2 linked regions of the Caenorhabditis elegans genome follow. The protein of the gene in region 2 binds, or shares a complex with, the protein of the main gene of each other region. Each region holds a gene or a part of one and is shown on either strand. Other genes may lie near its edges.

Region 1 (4,932 bases), on a different chromosome or scaffold from region 2:
CAAATGAAGCGCTTCACTGAACTGACTGCATTGATCAAGTGTTCTCCATCCTGCGTGGCTAGTTTTCTCTTTCCATTTTTTGTCTGACACCATTTTCTCTTTGATATGGGAAGCCAAAGTTGCAATTTTCATTTCCTTCTCTTTGCGGATTTTGATTTCAGCGAGTTCCTCGTCGGTATAAATTTTCTCGGGTTCGTTATCCGCCACATCTGTATCCTTGTTTTTGTCCCTTTCTTCTTCGCCATCTTTTTTCTTCTCACTTTCCGGAGTTTGTTCCTGATCAGGATCCACCACAGCTATAACAACACAGTCATCCTCGTCTGCTTTTTTGTTGGACTCAATGATCATAATATCATCTTCGTGTTCTTTCTCAGACTTATCAACTTCAGGCGCTTTGTCGACTTCCAGTGGTTCCTCGGTGGTAATTTCAGTGGATTCTTTTGGTTTTTCAGTGGCAGCTGGTGGATCTGATTCCATGGGAACTGTGTCATCTTTAGAAGTTTCATCGTTACTTGTTGAACTTGCATTTGGCTCCTTATCAATTTTGTCATTAGAATCGACAATGGAGGGAGCTTCGGATTTCTCTGCTGATGTAGACGTCTTTGCCGTTTTTGAACTGGTATCATCTTCATTTTCTTTGCCGGTAGGTTCTTCTTCAACTAATTTTTGTTTTTCAGAAGCATCGGTTTTATCATTTGCATCAGCCATTTCAGCATCGTCAGGATTTATCGGAACATCCAGATCATTCGTATGCTCATCAACAGATTTTTCTTTTTCCTTGTCTTTCTCCTTATCTTTGTTCTTCTCCTTAGTTTTAGATTCATCTTCTTTCTTTTCACATTCATTTTCTTTATCGACAGAAAGAGCTGGCGAAGCGCTGGGAGATGATTCAAAATCAATTTGTGGCTGCGTGTTGACAGTTTCCGTTGGTGTTGGATTGGAGAAATCCAGTACTTCATCTTTTGGTGGATCAATTCCAACTCCGCCCTGCTGAATCCAGAAAGGATACGTCATTGAACCATAGCGACCACTAATACGTTCAGGAGTGACAGATCTCTTGCCTATCTTCATGTACTTGAACTCCTCATCGTCAGTGAGTTTTTTTGGAATATCTGTGTGAAGTGGCTTGAAAGGTAAAGGCTCATATGATGGATCATATTGATGTGAGAAAGAGTCATAATCCATAGAATTGTCTGATTGTTGACCTCCATACTCATCATAGTCCATCGGTTCTTGTTTAATCTGTACTTTATCGTGATCAAGAGAAGCTTCATTCGAAGGATTCTGTGGCATTTTTTTTGGCCGATTTTTTGACAATCCTCTTCTTCTCCTCCTTTCAGACTTTTTGAGTGAGCCTGCCTTTCGTTTTTCATGCTGCTTGATAAGTTCTTCAGCTTGTGCTTCTGGTGTTTTGTCAGTCTCATCAAAGTAGGGTACATCAGGAATCTCGTCCAACATATCAATGAAGTCATCGTAATCTTCAAACTCGTAAATTTCGCCATCTTCATTTTCAAATCTGAATTTTTGATTTTTTGTAACTCTCATAAATTTAAGTCTTACTCTTTCTTAATGAAAGTTTTATTAGCAGAATCGTAGTACGCATCAATTTTCCTTTTATCCTGTGCCATTTCGAATAGAAAACCAAGTGCTTGGCAAAGCAGAGTGGAGGACCGTCTAGCTAACACCAGACTGGAGCTGAGATCTTCGACAAAATACACATAATATTTCATGAATGTGCTGAAATGTTATTAATACAATATCAGTTCATGGGTTATCTAATTTGGAAAAGTTTGCAGTGCTTACCTTAAAACTGAAGGGTTCTTAAAGTTTTTCTGCAAAAACAACTGATTGAAAACTTCCGTGAGATCGTTGAGAAACTCCTGTTTATCAAGGACACCATCCTATAACAAAACTAATAAAATTTCTGTTAAAAATAAAACTCTTACATCAAACATATACTTCATGAATCCAGTCAAATAATTCCATGTTTTAGTAGCCTCTCTTCGTTTTATGGGATTTCGAAAAGATTTGTAAAGCTGGGTTACGAGCCAAATTGTTGTTTTGTTGCATGCTTGGCTCAGTTCTAGAGTTGCAACGTCAAGTAATGTTTTCTTTTGTGTCTTGCTTGAAGAGTTGAAACCAAGGATACAAAGAAGTTTCACACACCATATTGCCCGATCGTAGCTTATGCTGAAATAGGCAACTTTAGAACATTCTTCAGTTAGCACAGTATAATTCACATTTGTTTTAATTGTGAATTTTAAAAACAACTCACTTATAATCGCTAAACTCCAAAAAGAGCAGTTCTTTCCTTCTAAATCCAGGGATTCTTTGTGAAAGTTGTTGAAGAGGAGTTCCTCTAGCTAATGCCGAAAAGAATTTCACTCGATCTGACAAAATTCGTTTCCAGTTATGTGGTGCAAAACACGGAAGTTGTTCCTTTGGAATTTTACGTTCTCTGTCATAATTCATGTGGAACTCTCCTTTTTTGTGAATAACCTGAAATTAACATATTTACTCACTTATATAATTGTTGAAAATGACTCACAGAAGCAATCATAGACTGAGATCGTTTTTGAGCTTTCTCCAGACGAATTAGCTTATTTTCCGATGCGTTGAAAACCAATGATTGAAGCTCGTATTGCGTTAATGGCATCTAAAATCAAAACTCGGGTTGTATAATTCATATCCTCACGTGTGCTTTCTCTGTTTCTTTTTACGCTCATCAAACATCTAGCCACACACCAAGCTAATCATCCCCTAGTACCTCCATAGTTACATTGCACTCTGTTTGAGCATCTTTTTCCTCGCCCTGGCACGACACTCACCTGATATCCTTTCTTTAATCGTTCCGTTGTCAACATATCCTCTTCTTGATTCTTGTTTTGTTTATACACATCAGCAGTTCCCATTCGAAGGTTGGTTTTCCGGAGCATACGTTCGCCGGGCTGCTCGTCAAACCACGAGGCGACGCCATCCTCGGGGTAGACGTCGTCCTCGTCGTCTACCACTGACGTCGATGGGTACGAAATGATTGCTAAAATTTTTTTATTTGCAATAACTTCCCAAATTTTGAAGATAATATGTTAAGAAAAAGAAAAAATACAATCAGGCGACGTTTTTAAGTGATAACAACATAAAAACTGACAGAAAAATGAAAGGAGGAACGAATAAGAATTTAAAGGAAAGTGGGTTCTATTTATTTAGAAAATATTGTGAAAAAAATAAGTATTAAAAAGTTTTTTTTTTGGAATATCATCATTCATGTCTAGTTCACTTTTCCAACTCTAAAATTGTGTTCAAAATCCAATATTCAAAATTTTGTGGGTTCCCAATTAGTTAAAAAAACACAATGTGAGCTTTTAAAAAAAGTGAAAAATTAAACTCAACATGTGGACAGAGATGTATTCATAAAGCACCTTTCATCGATTGTAAAGAAACACATCAACCCCAGTACGGATGATGACATTCAAAGATGGCTGTAAAAAAGACGCAGAGAAGCGAGGAAGAAACGCACAAACGGCGAGTAGCAGGCAGTTGGAAAGAAATAGAGAATTGGCCCCTGAGAACACAGAACACAGCAAGAAATACACTGATGGAAGAGAGAGACGCAGAGATGGAGAGTGCTGCACAGCAAGGCACACAGACCCATCGATCGGAACTGTCTCGCTATTTTCTCAAAATGGTCCACTCATAAGTCGTTTGTTTAATTGCAGGGAAAATTGTATTGTTGTAAGAAATGGTAAATACGTTAAAACTTCAACTTTCAGAACGATAAGAAAGTAGACTTTTTTGGGAGTTGTGAATGAGCTAATATTCCAAGATGGTGAACCCAAAAAAAAAAAAGGAAATCAAGTAGTATGCATATCACCTACAGATCAGCATGAACTGATAATATTTGTTATTTGAATATGTGCAATTTTAATAACTTTAATGCGCGTTGTTTCAGAATATGGTTTCGGATGTTCAGGCAGTTTACTGATATTATACAAAAAACCAGCGAAGTTTTTTTGAAACTAAGCTAAAAACGACCTTACGCGCAAAAAATTCCAACATCTGGGTATTGTCTGCAGTTAGAATCACATTCTCGCAAATTTAAATTTATGAGAAAGGACAAATGATGAGAGAAAATGTCATATGTCAGATAAAATTATATGAAAACGGAAGAAAAAAACTCTAAGTTTCTTCATTTCAGAATGTCATAGGGCAAATCCCCCGATTGATGTTTCAATGTAATGCATATTTGAATATATATTTTAATTTTTTTTACAACTCCACAATATCGTTTTGAACTTTGAACAAAATATTGAAAATAAAAATTAGAATTGATTGAAATTGTTATAATTCTTCAAATCAGGATCGCGGAAAATTTTCAAAACGAAATAAATCACTAAAAAGTGTTTATTTAAATTCAGTAAATTCTAGTAATTAGGTCTTGTATTCCGCGTTTCTTTTATAATTTCAAAAATACAATTCAGCGATGTTATCACGCATCACAATTGTTTGAAAATTGTGTGTTTGTATATAAATAATTTATAATCAAAAACACGAAACAAAATAAAAATGATCAGGAATTGCTTGAAGACAATTGAGAAGTAGAAGAAAAATATGAGGAAATGAAAAAATGGAACACTGGTTCTTTAAAAATTTAAGACGATAAAGAAATAAAGTTGAAAAAGTAGTCAACAATACAATGAACAAAAATATCATGAAAGAGGTGGAAATTCAATTATGCAGAGAACAAATGACTGGCTCGAGAAGATTCGAAAAAGAGCATTTGTGCAGCTGGAGAAAGGTTAGTTATCGGTTCTCGTTGATCTGAAACGCCAAGAATTATTGTGTTATTGTGAAATTATAGTGTTTGTGGCTGGAAATTGACCAAATTTGGCTAAGATTTATTTTGTACAGATCAAAAAACCACAAGAAATGTTT
Region 2 (7,974 bases):
CGCCGAAAACTCGTAATCGGTGTTTGCGTACTTTCGAAGCTACAGTACTACTCTGTAAATTTTACTAAATGCTTAAATTGCCTATGAAATTGCGGAAAATTCAGTTTTAAGCATGACATTGCGTTAAAATATTGATTTTTCTGCATTTTGTCGTAAGATCTGGTGTGTTGAAGTGTTTGCGTACTTTTGAGGCTACAGTATCCCGCGAAAGTTGAATTTAGCGTAGGAAAGTCGGAAAAAAGTGTTTCAGGGGTAGAACTTGACGACGAATCTGATTTTGATACTAATTTTAAGTTAAAAAATTTAAAAAAAATTGATGTTTTTCCAAAAAAAAAAATTTTCAAAAAAATTTTTTTTTCAATTTTTTTTTTCCGGAAAAGTAAATACCTTTCTTATTATAAAACTATTATTGACATTGTCATTAACAAGGTCACAATAATTATTTGTTCTTCACCAATTTTCGGCGGCGGCGCAAATAACAGAAAAAAGTAGGTCAAATTCATTTCGTCACCTTATATTCCGTTGGTTTCAATAAAACAGAAGAACACGAAGGGTTTCGTACTGATAAGATGTGATAGTACATAATAACATTAATAAGAAATAAATGTACTTTTGGGGGGGAATTTTAAAAAAAAATTGAAAAAAAAAAATTTTTTTTTTGAAAAAATTTTTTTGAGTTTTTTTTTTTTTAAAGTACCATAACTTTTCTCATTTTTAAGATTTTTTTTATAATTTTTAAAGCAGATTGTAGATAAATATTTTATTCAAATAAAAAGTTACAATCGTACTAAAAAAATGTTGAAAATTTCAAAAAATAAAATTTTTTTTGGAATAAAAAATTTTTAGAAAAAATCCTATAACTTTGCTCATTTTTAAGCTATAAAAATGTTTTTTTAAACAAAACAAAGAAAAATCTTCGCATTTTTATTGCATTAATTAAGACTTAAACAAAAATAGGTCGGAATTTCAAATTTTTGGGAAAAAATTCAACTTACCAAATCGTGACGCCGAAAATGGGTGAGAAGCTTCAAAAAGTTGGCATTCATATTGATGGACATGTTTATAGACGAAGAAATTGGCTGGAAATCTGAAAATTTGAAAAAAAAACATTTCGAACAAAAATTTTCTGAAAAAAAAATTTCGAAAAAAAAAATTTTTTTCGAAAATTTTAAATTTTTCCTAAAATCTCCAATATACTAATTAGCACCTAACAAAGCCAATTTCACACTTTAAAACTCCCCAAAAAGCTCCTTTATACGACTTTTTCCAGCCAATTTGTACCACTTTTCTATTTGCTCAGTGACTACAGCGTCAAAAAGGTCAAAAAGGTGCGAATTTCTTATCAAATGATGATTTCTGCTCAGTTTTGCAAACAAAATTGCCGGATTTTCATCCAAGAAATGGGTGACTGTGTCATATTGGATAGTTTTCACTAGCACCCCCGCCAGACTCCGCCTAGTTTCGGGAAAAAGTGAAAGTTCAAGTGGTCAGAGGGATTGGAGACGGGTGAAATGTAGTTGACATAAACCTAAAGCAAATTGGAAGCATTTTGACACAAAAATCATAAACTCATGAGAAACTCTGAAAAATGAGCCAAATTATTATTAATTATTGTGGCTTTGCAGAAAAATTTCGATTTGTCTCGGTTTTAATGGAATTTTTTGAATTTTAACACAGAAGAAGGATTTTGACTACGTTTTGTTGAATTTTTCACAAAAAAAAACTTCAAAACCCCCTCTAAACTAGCCATAATCCACCAGCTTTAAAAAATCGATTTAAACTACCGCGTAAAGACATACAACGACACTCCGGAATCCCGCAGGCGCGTGTTCTTTACCGTAAATCCACACTCCGAATTTATTCTTATTTATTCGAATTTTCATCGATTTCACTCAATTTCCACTGTTTTTCTCGATTTTTTCATTTTTTTAATGATTTTAGTTGAAAAATGGCTTTAAATTTCTGGAAAAGCAGTCATTGGTAAGTAAATCCCATTGAAAAACCCAAAAAAATCCCATTTTTTCCAGCCAACAATGGATTTTCGATAAAACCGAGATTTGGAAGCAACGCGCCGAGGATATGAAGATTTATAACGAGGAAGAGTACAATCGATTGAATATTTTCTGGGCGAATTGTAATTTTTCCTTACTTTTTCCTCGAAAAAATCGATAATTTTTGGTTTTTTTTCAGTTATAACCGCCGTCGCCACAGAAGGAGCCCACTCACAGGCAAATGTTGGATGTAAACTCCGTCAACAGGTTATTGCAACTGCGATTATCTATTTTAAGCGATTTTATCTAAGGTTTATTCGGAAAAAAATGATAAAAAACCTGGAAAAACGTCGAATTTTTCAGGCAATCGTTCCGTGACATGTGCCCATTCCTCGTAGCCTCTACAGCATTATTTTTAGCGTGTAAAGTTGAAGAACACACTACGTTGAGCGTCTCAAGCTTTCTGAAAAATACAGCTATCGTTTGTGCGTTTTTACGACGGAAAAATTGCAAAAAATTGGCAGAAAAACGCGGAAATCCGGCTGAAAATTGGAAAATTTAGTGAAAAATAGGCTTTTGAACCGAAAAAACACCCGGAAAAAACATCAATTTTTCACTTAAAAACCGCTGAAATCCAAATTTTTCAGCTAGAAACTCTAAAAATCACCTCAATAACCAAAAAAAAAAAACAGTTTTTGAGTCAAGTTTTGTCTCAAAAAAATTTGAAATTCCACTCTTGCAGCTCATTTTCCGCTTATTAATCCAAAAAATCGCCTGAAAATCGATTTTTAAGCTGAAAAACTCGAAAAACTCGAAAAATTTGCCTCTTTTTCACTCAAAAATTCGATGCTTTCCTAAAAACGCCAAAAATAAAAAAATTACGGCCAATTTTCAGAAAAATTTAATTAAAAAAACTAAAAACGCCCAACTTACCAGAAAAAAACCCGTTTTAGTCCAAAAAATCGCCTAAAAATCAAATTTTCCACTTAAAAATTCGATTTTTCTGTTAAAAACGGTTAAAAGTTCAGGAAATACCCATAAAGACCCGTTTTAGTCCTAATATTCGTCTAAAAATCGTTTTTTGTGTGGAAAAATCGGATTTTGTCAATTTTTAACCTGAAAAATTCGATTTTTCGCTAAAAACGCCGAAAATTTCAAAAATTCGATAAAAAACTCGTTTTCACTTCAAAAAAATTGCCTGAAAATCTATTTTCGACAGAAAAAACCAAAATTTATCAATTTTCCACTCAAAAATTCATCTTTTTTTTGCTAAAAAAACCAAAAACTTAAGAAAATTTAATTAAAAACCCGGTTTACTTCAAAAAATCGCCTTAAATCAATTTTACCCTCAAAAATTCAATTTTTCTGTTAAAAACGCCAGAAATTGTAAAAAATTCGACCAAAAATGCGTTTTAGTCCAAAAATCCACCTGAAAATCAAATTTTCCACTAAAAAATTCAATTTTTCTGCGGAAAACGCCGAAATGTTCAGAAAATATTCATAAAATACCCCTTTTTAGTCCTAAAATCCGTCTAAAATGTAATTTTTCTGCTAAAAACGCTAAAAATCACAGAAAATTAGAATAAAAACCTCTTCTTAGGCCAAAAAATGGCCTAAAAATCAAATTTTCTAATCAAAAATTCAATTTTTCTTTTAAAAAACCAGTTTTTCAGCAGAAACAACAGAATTTTGTCAATTTTCCACTCAAAAATTCAATGTTTATGCTAAAAAATACCCAAAATTTCGAAAAATTCTATTAAAAACGCGTTTTACTTCAAAAAATCGCCAAAAAATCAAATCTCCCACTCAAAAATTCAATTTTTCTACTAAAAACGTCAAAAATTCGATAAAAAACCCGTTTTAGTCCAAAAATTCGTCTAAAACTCAATTTTTTCTACTAAAAATGCAAAAAATTTCAAAAAATTCGAAAAAAACCCGCCTGAAAACCAATTTTCCCCTCAAAAATTCGATTTTTCTGCTAGAAATTCTAAAAATTTCGAAAAATTCTATTAAAAACGCGTTTTACTTCAAAAAATCGCCAAAAAATCAAATTTCCCACTAAAAAATTAATTTTTCTACTAAAAACGTCAAAAATTCGATAAAAAACCCGTTGTAGTCCAAAAATTCGTCTAAAAATCAATTTTTCTCTCAAAAATTCAATTTTTTCTACTAAAAATGCAAAAAATTTCAAAAAATTCGGGAAAAAACCCCGTTGTACTCCAAAAAATCCGCCTGAAAACCAATTTTCCGCTAAAAAATTCAATTTTTCTACTAAAAATGCAAAAAATTTCAAAAAATTCGGGAAAAAACCCCGTTGTACTCCAAAAAATCCGCCTGAAAACCAATTTTCCGCTAAAAAATTCAATTTTTCTACTAAAAAACCCATAAATTGTCCGAAAAAACGCGTTTTACTTCAAAAAATCGCCAAAAAATCAAATCTCCCACTCAAAAATTCAATTTTTCTACTAAAAACGTCAAAAATTCGATAAAAAACCCGTTTTAGTCCAAAAAATCGCCTAAAAATCAAATTTTCCCCTCAAAAATTCAAATTTCGCGCCCCTAAATCCCTTCATTTTTCAGTGCCAAAACGATGGGGAGTGACATTTGAGACGACATCGACAAAAAATGGAGTTGTCTACGATTCCGAGTTTATTCTCGTTGAAATTCTTGATTGTTGCCTTGTTGTACATCATGCATCACGTCCAATGTTTGAATTATTAGAAGATTTGAAACAATTTACTCAACAATCAACTATTGCTAATCAACCTATTAAAGGTGCCCCCCCCCCCCCCCCCGGGAAATTTTTGATAAAAACTGTGAAAAATTGGAGAAATTGCGATTTTTCCAGGAAAAATTGGGAAAAAAATCGATAAAAATTGGAAAAATTTGAATTTTTTGAGAAAAAAAAAGGAAATATCTGAAATTTTTTAGGGAACAGTGGAATTTTTTTGATTTTTTTTTTGAATTTTTTGGTGAAAAAAATGGAAAATTGTGGAATTTTTAGTGAAAAATTGGAAAATTTTGAATTTTTCAGTAAAAAAGTGGAAAATTTGGAAAATTTTGAATTTTTAATGAAAAAATGGAAAATTTTGGAATTTTTAGTGAAAAATTGGAAAAATTAAATTTTTTAGCGAAAAATTCGATTTTTAAGTGAAAAATCTAATTTTTTTAGTTAAAAATTGGAAAATTTTGAATTTTTAGAGAAAAAAAAAGGAAATATCTGAAATTTTTTAGGGAACAGTGGAATTTTTTTGATTTTTTTTTTGAATTTTTTGGTGAAAAATTGAAAAAAAATTGGAATTTTTGGGTGAAAAATTTGGAAAAATTTGAATAATTAGGGGAAAATTGGAAAAAATTGGAATTTTTTAGTGAAAAATTGAAAAAATTAGAAATTTTGAATTTTTTTAATGAAAAAATGGAAAATTTTGGAATTTTTAGTGAAAAATTGGAAACATCGAATTTTTTTTGAATTTCTTAGTGAAAAATTGGATTTTTTAAGTGAAAAATCTAATTTTTTAGTTAAAAATTGGAAATTTTTGAATTTTTTGAGAAAAAAAAGGAAATATCTGAAATTTTTTAGGGAACAGTGGAATTTTTTTGATTTTTTTTTTGAATTTTTTGATGAAAAATTGAAAAAAATTGGGATTTTTTCGTGAAAAATTGGAAAATTTTGAATTTTTCAGTAAAAAAGTGGAAAATTTGCAATTCAATTTTTGAAGAAAATTTGATTTTCCCCTACAAAAAATATGCCAAAAATTAGGAAACCTCAATTTTTTCGAAGAATTTTTCGGAATTTTTTTCTTAAAAATTTAAAATGTTTTTAAAACAAAACTGAATTTTCACAAAAAAAATCCTAATTTTTCACGAAAAAATTCCAATTTTTTTTTCAATTTTTCACCAAAAAATTCAAAAAAAAAATCAAAAAAATTCCACTGTTCCCTAAAAAATTTCAGATATTTCCTTTTTTTTCTCTAAAAATTCAAAATTTTCCAATTTTTAACTAAAAAATTAGATTTTTCACTTAAAAAATCCAATTTTTCACTAAGAAATTCAAAAAAAAATCCATTTGTCCAATTTTTCACTAAAAATTCCAAAATTTTCCATTTTTTCATTAAAAAAATTCAAAATTTCTAATTTTTTCAATTTTTCACTAAAAAATTCAAATTTTCAAAAAAAAATTCCAATTTTTCACTAAAAAATCGAATTTTTCCAATTTTTCACTAAATATTTAAATTTTTCCAAATTTTCCACTTTTTTACTGAAAAATTCAAAAATTTCCAATTTTTTTCAATTTTTCACCAAAAAATTCAAAAAAAAAAAATCAAAAAAATTCCACTGTTCCCTAAAAAATTTCAGAAATTTCCTTTTTTTTTTCTCAAAAAATTCAAATTTTTCCAATTTTTTCAATTTTTCCCAAAATCATTCAAAATTTTCCAATTTTTAACTTAAAAATTAGATTTTTCACTTAAAAAATCCAATTTTTCACTAAAAAATTCAAAAAAAATTCGATTTTTCCAATTTTTCACTAAAAATTCAAAATTTTCCAATCTTTCACTAAAAAATTCGATTTTTCCAATTTTTCACTAAAAATTCCAAAATTTTCCATTTTTTCATTAAAAAATTCAAAATTTCTAATTTTTTCAATTTTTCACTAAAAAATCCAATTTTTCACCAAAAAATTCAAAAAAAATTCGATTTTTCCAATTTTTCACTAAAAAATCCAAAATTTTCCATTTTTTCATTAAAAAATTCAAAATTTCTAATTTTTTCAATTTTTCACTAAAAAATCCAATTTTTCACCAAAAAATTCAAAAAAATTCGATTTTTCCAATTTTTCACTAAATAATCCAAAATTTTCCAATCTTTCACTAAAAAATTCGATTTTTCCAATTTTTCACTAAAAATTCCAAAATTTTCCATTTTTTCATTAAAAAATTCAAAATTTCTAATTTTTTCAATTTTTCACTAAAAAATCCAATTTTTCACCAAAAAATTCAAAAAAAATTCGATTTTTCCAATTTTTCACTAAAAAATCCAATTTTTCACCAAAAAATTCAAAAAAATTCGATTTTTCCAATTTTTCACTAAATAATCCAAAATTTTCCATTTTTTCATTAAAAAATTCAAAATTTCTAATTTTTTCAATTTTTCACTAAAAAATCCAATTTTTCACCAAAAAACCTCCATTTTTTTGCAGATCTGGAAGCAATTGAAGCTCAATGTCAAAAAGTGGCAAATGATTCGCTAAGATGTGATGTTTCATTGATTTTTCCACCACATGTCATTGGATTATCAAGTATTATGGTTGCAATGGAATTAATGGGCCGTGGAGAAGAATTGGAAGCTTGGCTTGTCGAAGTTGACACTGATTTTGAAAAGGTCTCGGATTTCTACCGGAAAATTGAGATTTCCCGTGAAATTCTACCCAATACTCGAGAAATTTGCCAATTTTTAGAGAATTTGCAAGAAAATCCAGCAAATTCCGCGAAAATAGACAATTTTTTAAGCATTTTTAGCCGAAAAAAAGTTGGTGGCCTAACTTTTTTACTTTCTAGGCCACCAATAGGAATTTTCGAACATTTTTCTTTAAATGTGGAAAACCCCGAGTTTTTTAACCCATTTTGCCAATTTTCAGCCGAAAAATGATGGTGGCCTAACTTTTTGCAATTTCTAGGCCACCAATCGGAATTAAGGGAATTTTTGTGATTTTAGAAAGTCAAGAACGGAAACTTTGACATTTTTGGCATTTTCTTGAAAATTGAACTCAAAAATTGCAAAAACCTGAATTTTTGTGCAATTTGAGCTGGAAAATCCCCGAAAATCGATGCTTCTGTGATTTTCAGTGAAAAAAAACTGAAAAATCGAATTTTTCGGACCTTTTTACCCATGTGGCCGAGTTTTTTGGCTGATGGCCGAACTTTTGTAATTTCTAGGCCACCGATTGGGAATAAGGTCATTTTTTGAACTTTAACGTTTTTTTTTG

Evidence for each region.
Region 1: cic-1 (region 2) and dpy-22 share a complex: the UniProt entries of both Caenorhabditis elegans proteins name them as parts of the mediator complex.

The regions. Positions count from the first base shown.
Region 1 is NC_003284.9:9,819,235-9,824,166, forward strand, and holds the start of dpy-22 (Mediator of RNA polymerase II transcription subunit 12), read right to left. Parts: upstream 3,040-4,932; 5' UTR 2,937-3,039; coding exon 2,829-2,936; intron 2,657-2,828; coding exon 2,549-2,656; intron 2,500-2,548; coding exon 2,276-2,499; intron 2,191-2,275; coding exon 1,947-2,190; intron 1,902-1,946; coding exon 1,804-1,901; intron 1,738-1,803; coding exon 1,561-1,737; intron 1,517-1,560; coding exon 1-1,516. Other genes in the region: GTPase-activating protein rrc-1, read right to left, coding at 4,730-4,818. UniProt on the Caenorhabditis elegans protein: Component of the Mediator complex, a coactivator involved in regulated gene transcription of nearly all RNA polymerase II-dependent genes.
Region 2 is NC_003281.10:2,395,183-2,403,156, reverse strand, and holds the start of cic-1 (Cyclin-C), read left to right. Parts: upstream 1-1,935; 5' UTR 1,936-1,948; coding exon 1,949-1,980; intron 1,981-2,027; coding exon 2,028-2,134; intron 2,135-2,190; coding exon 2,191-2,302; intron 2,303-2,354; coding exon 2,355-2,476; intron 2,477-4,571; coding exon 4,572-4,766; intron 4,767-7,188; coding exon 7,189-7,370; intron 7,371-7,500; exon of another isoform or gene 7,501-7,550; intron 7,551-7,974. Other genes in the region: Sterol 4-C-methyltransferase strm-1, read right to left, coding at 996-1,058. UniProt on the Caenorhabditis elegans protein: Component of the Mediator complex, a coactivator involved in regulated gene transcription of nearly all RNA polymerase II-dependent genes.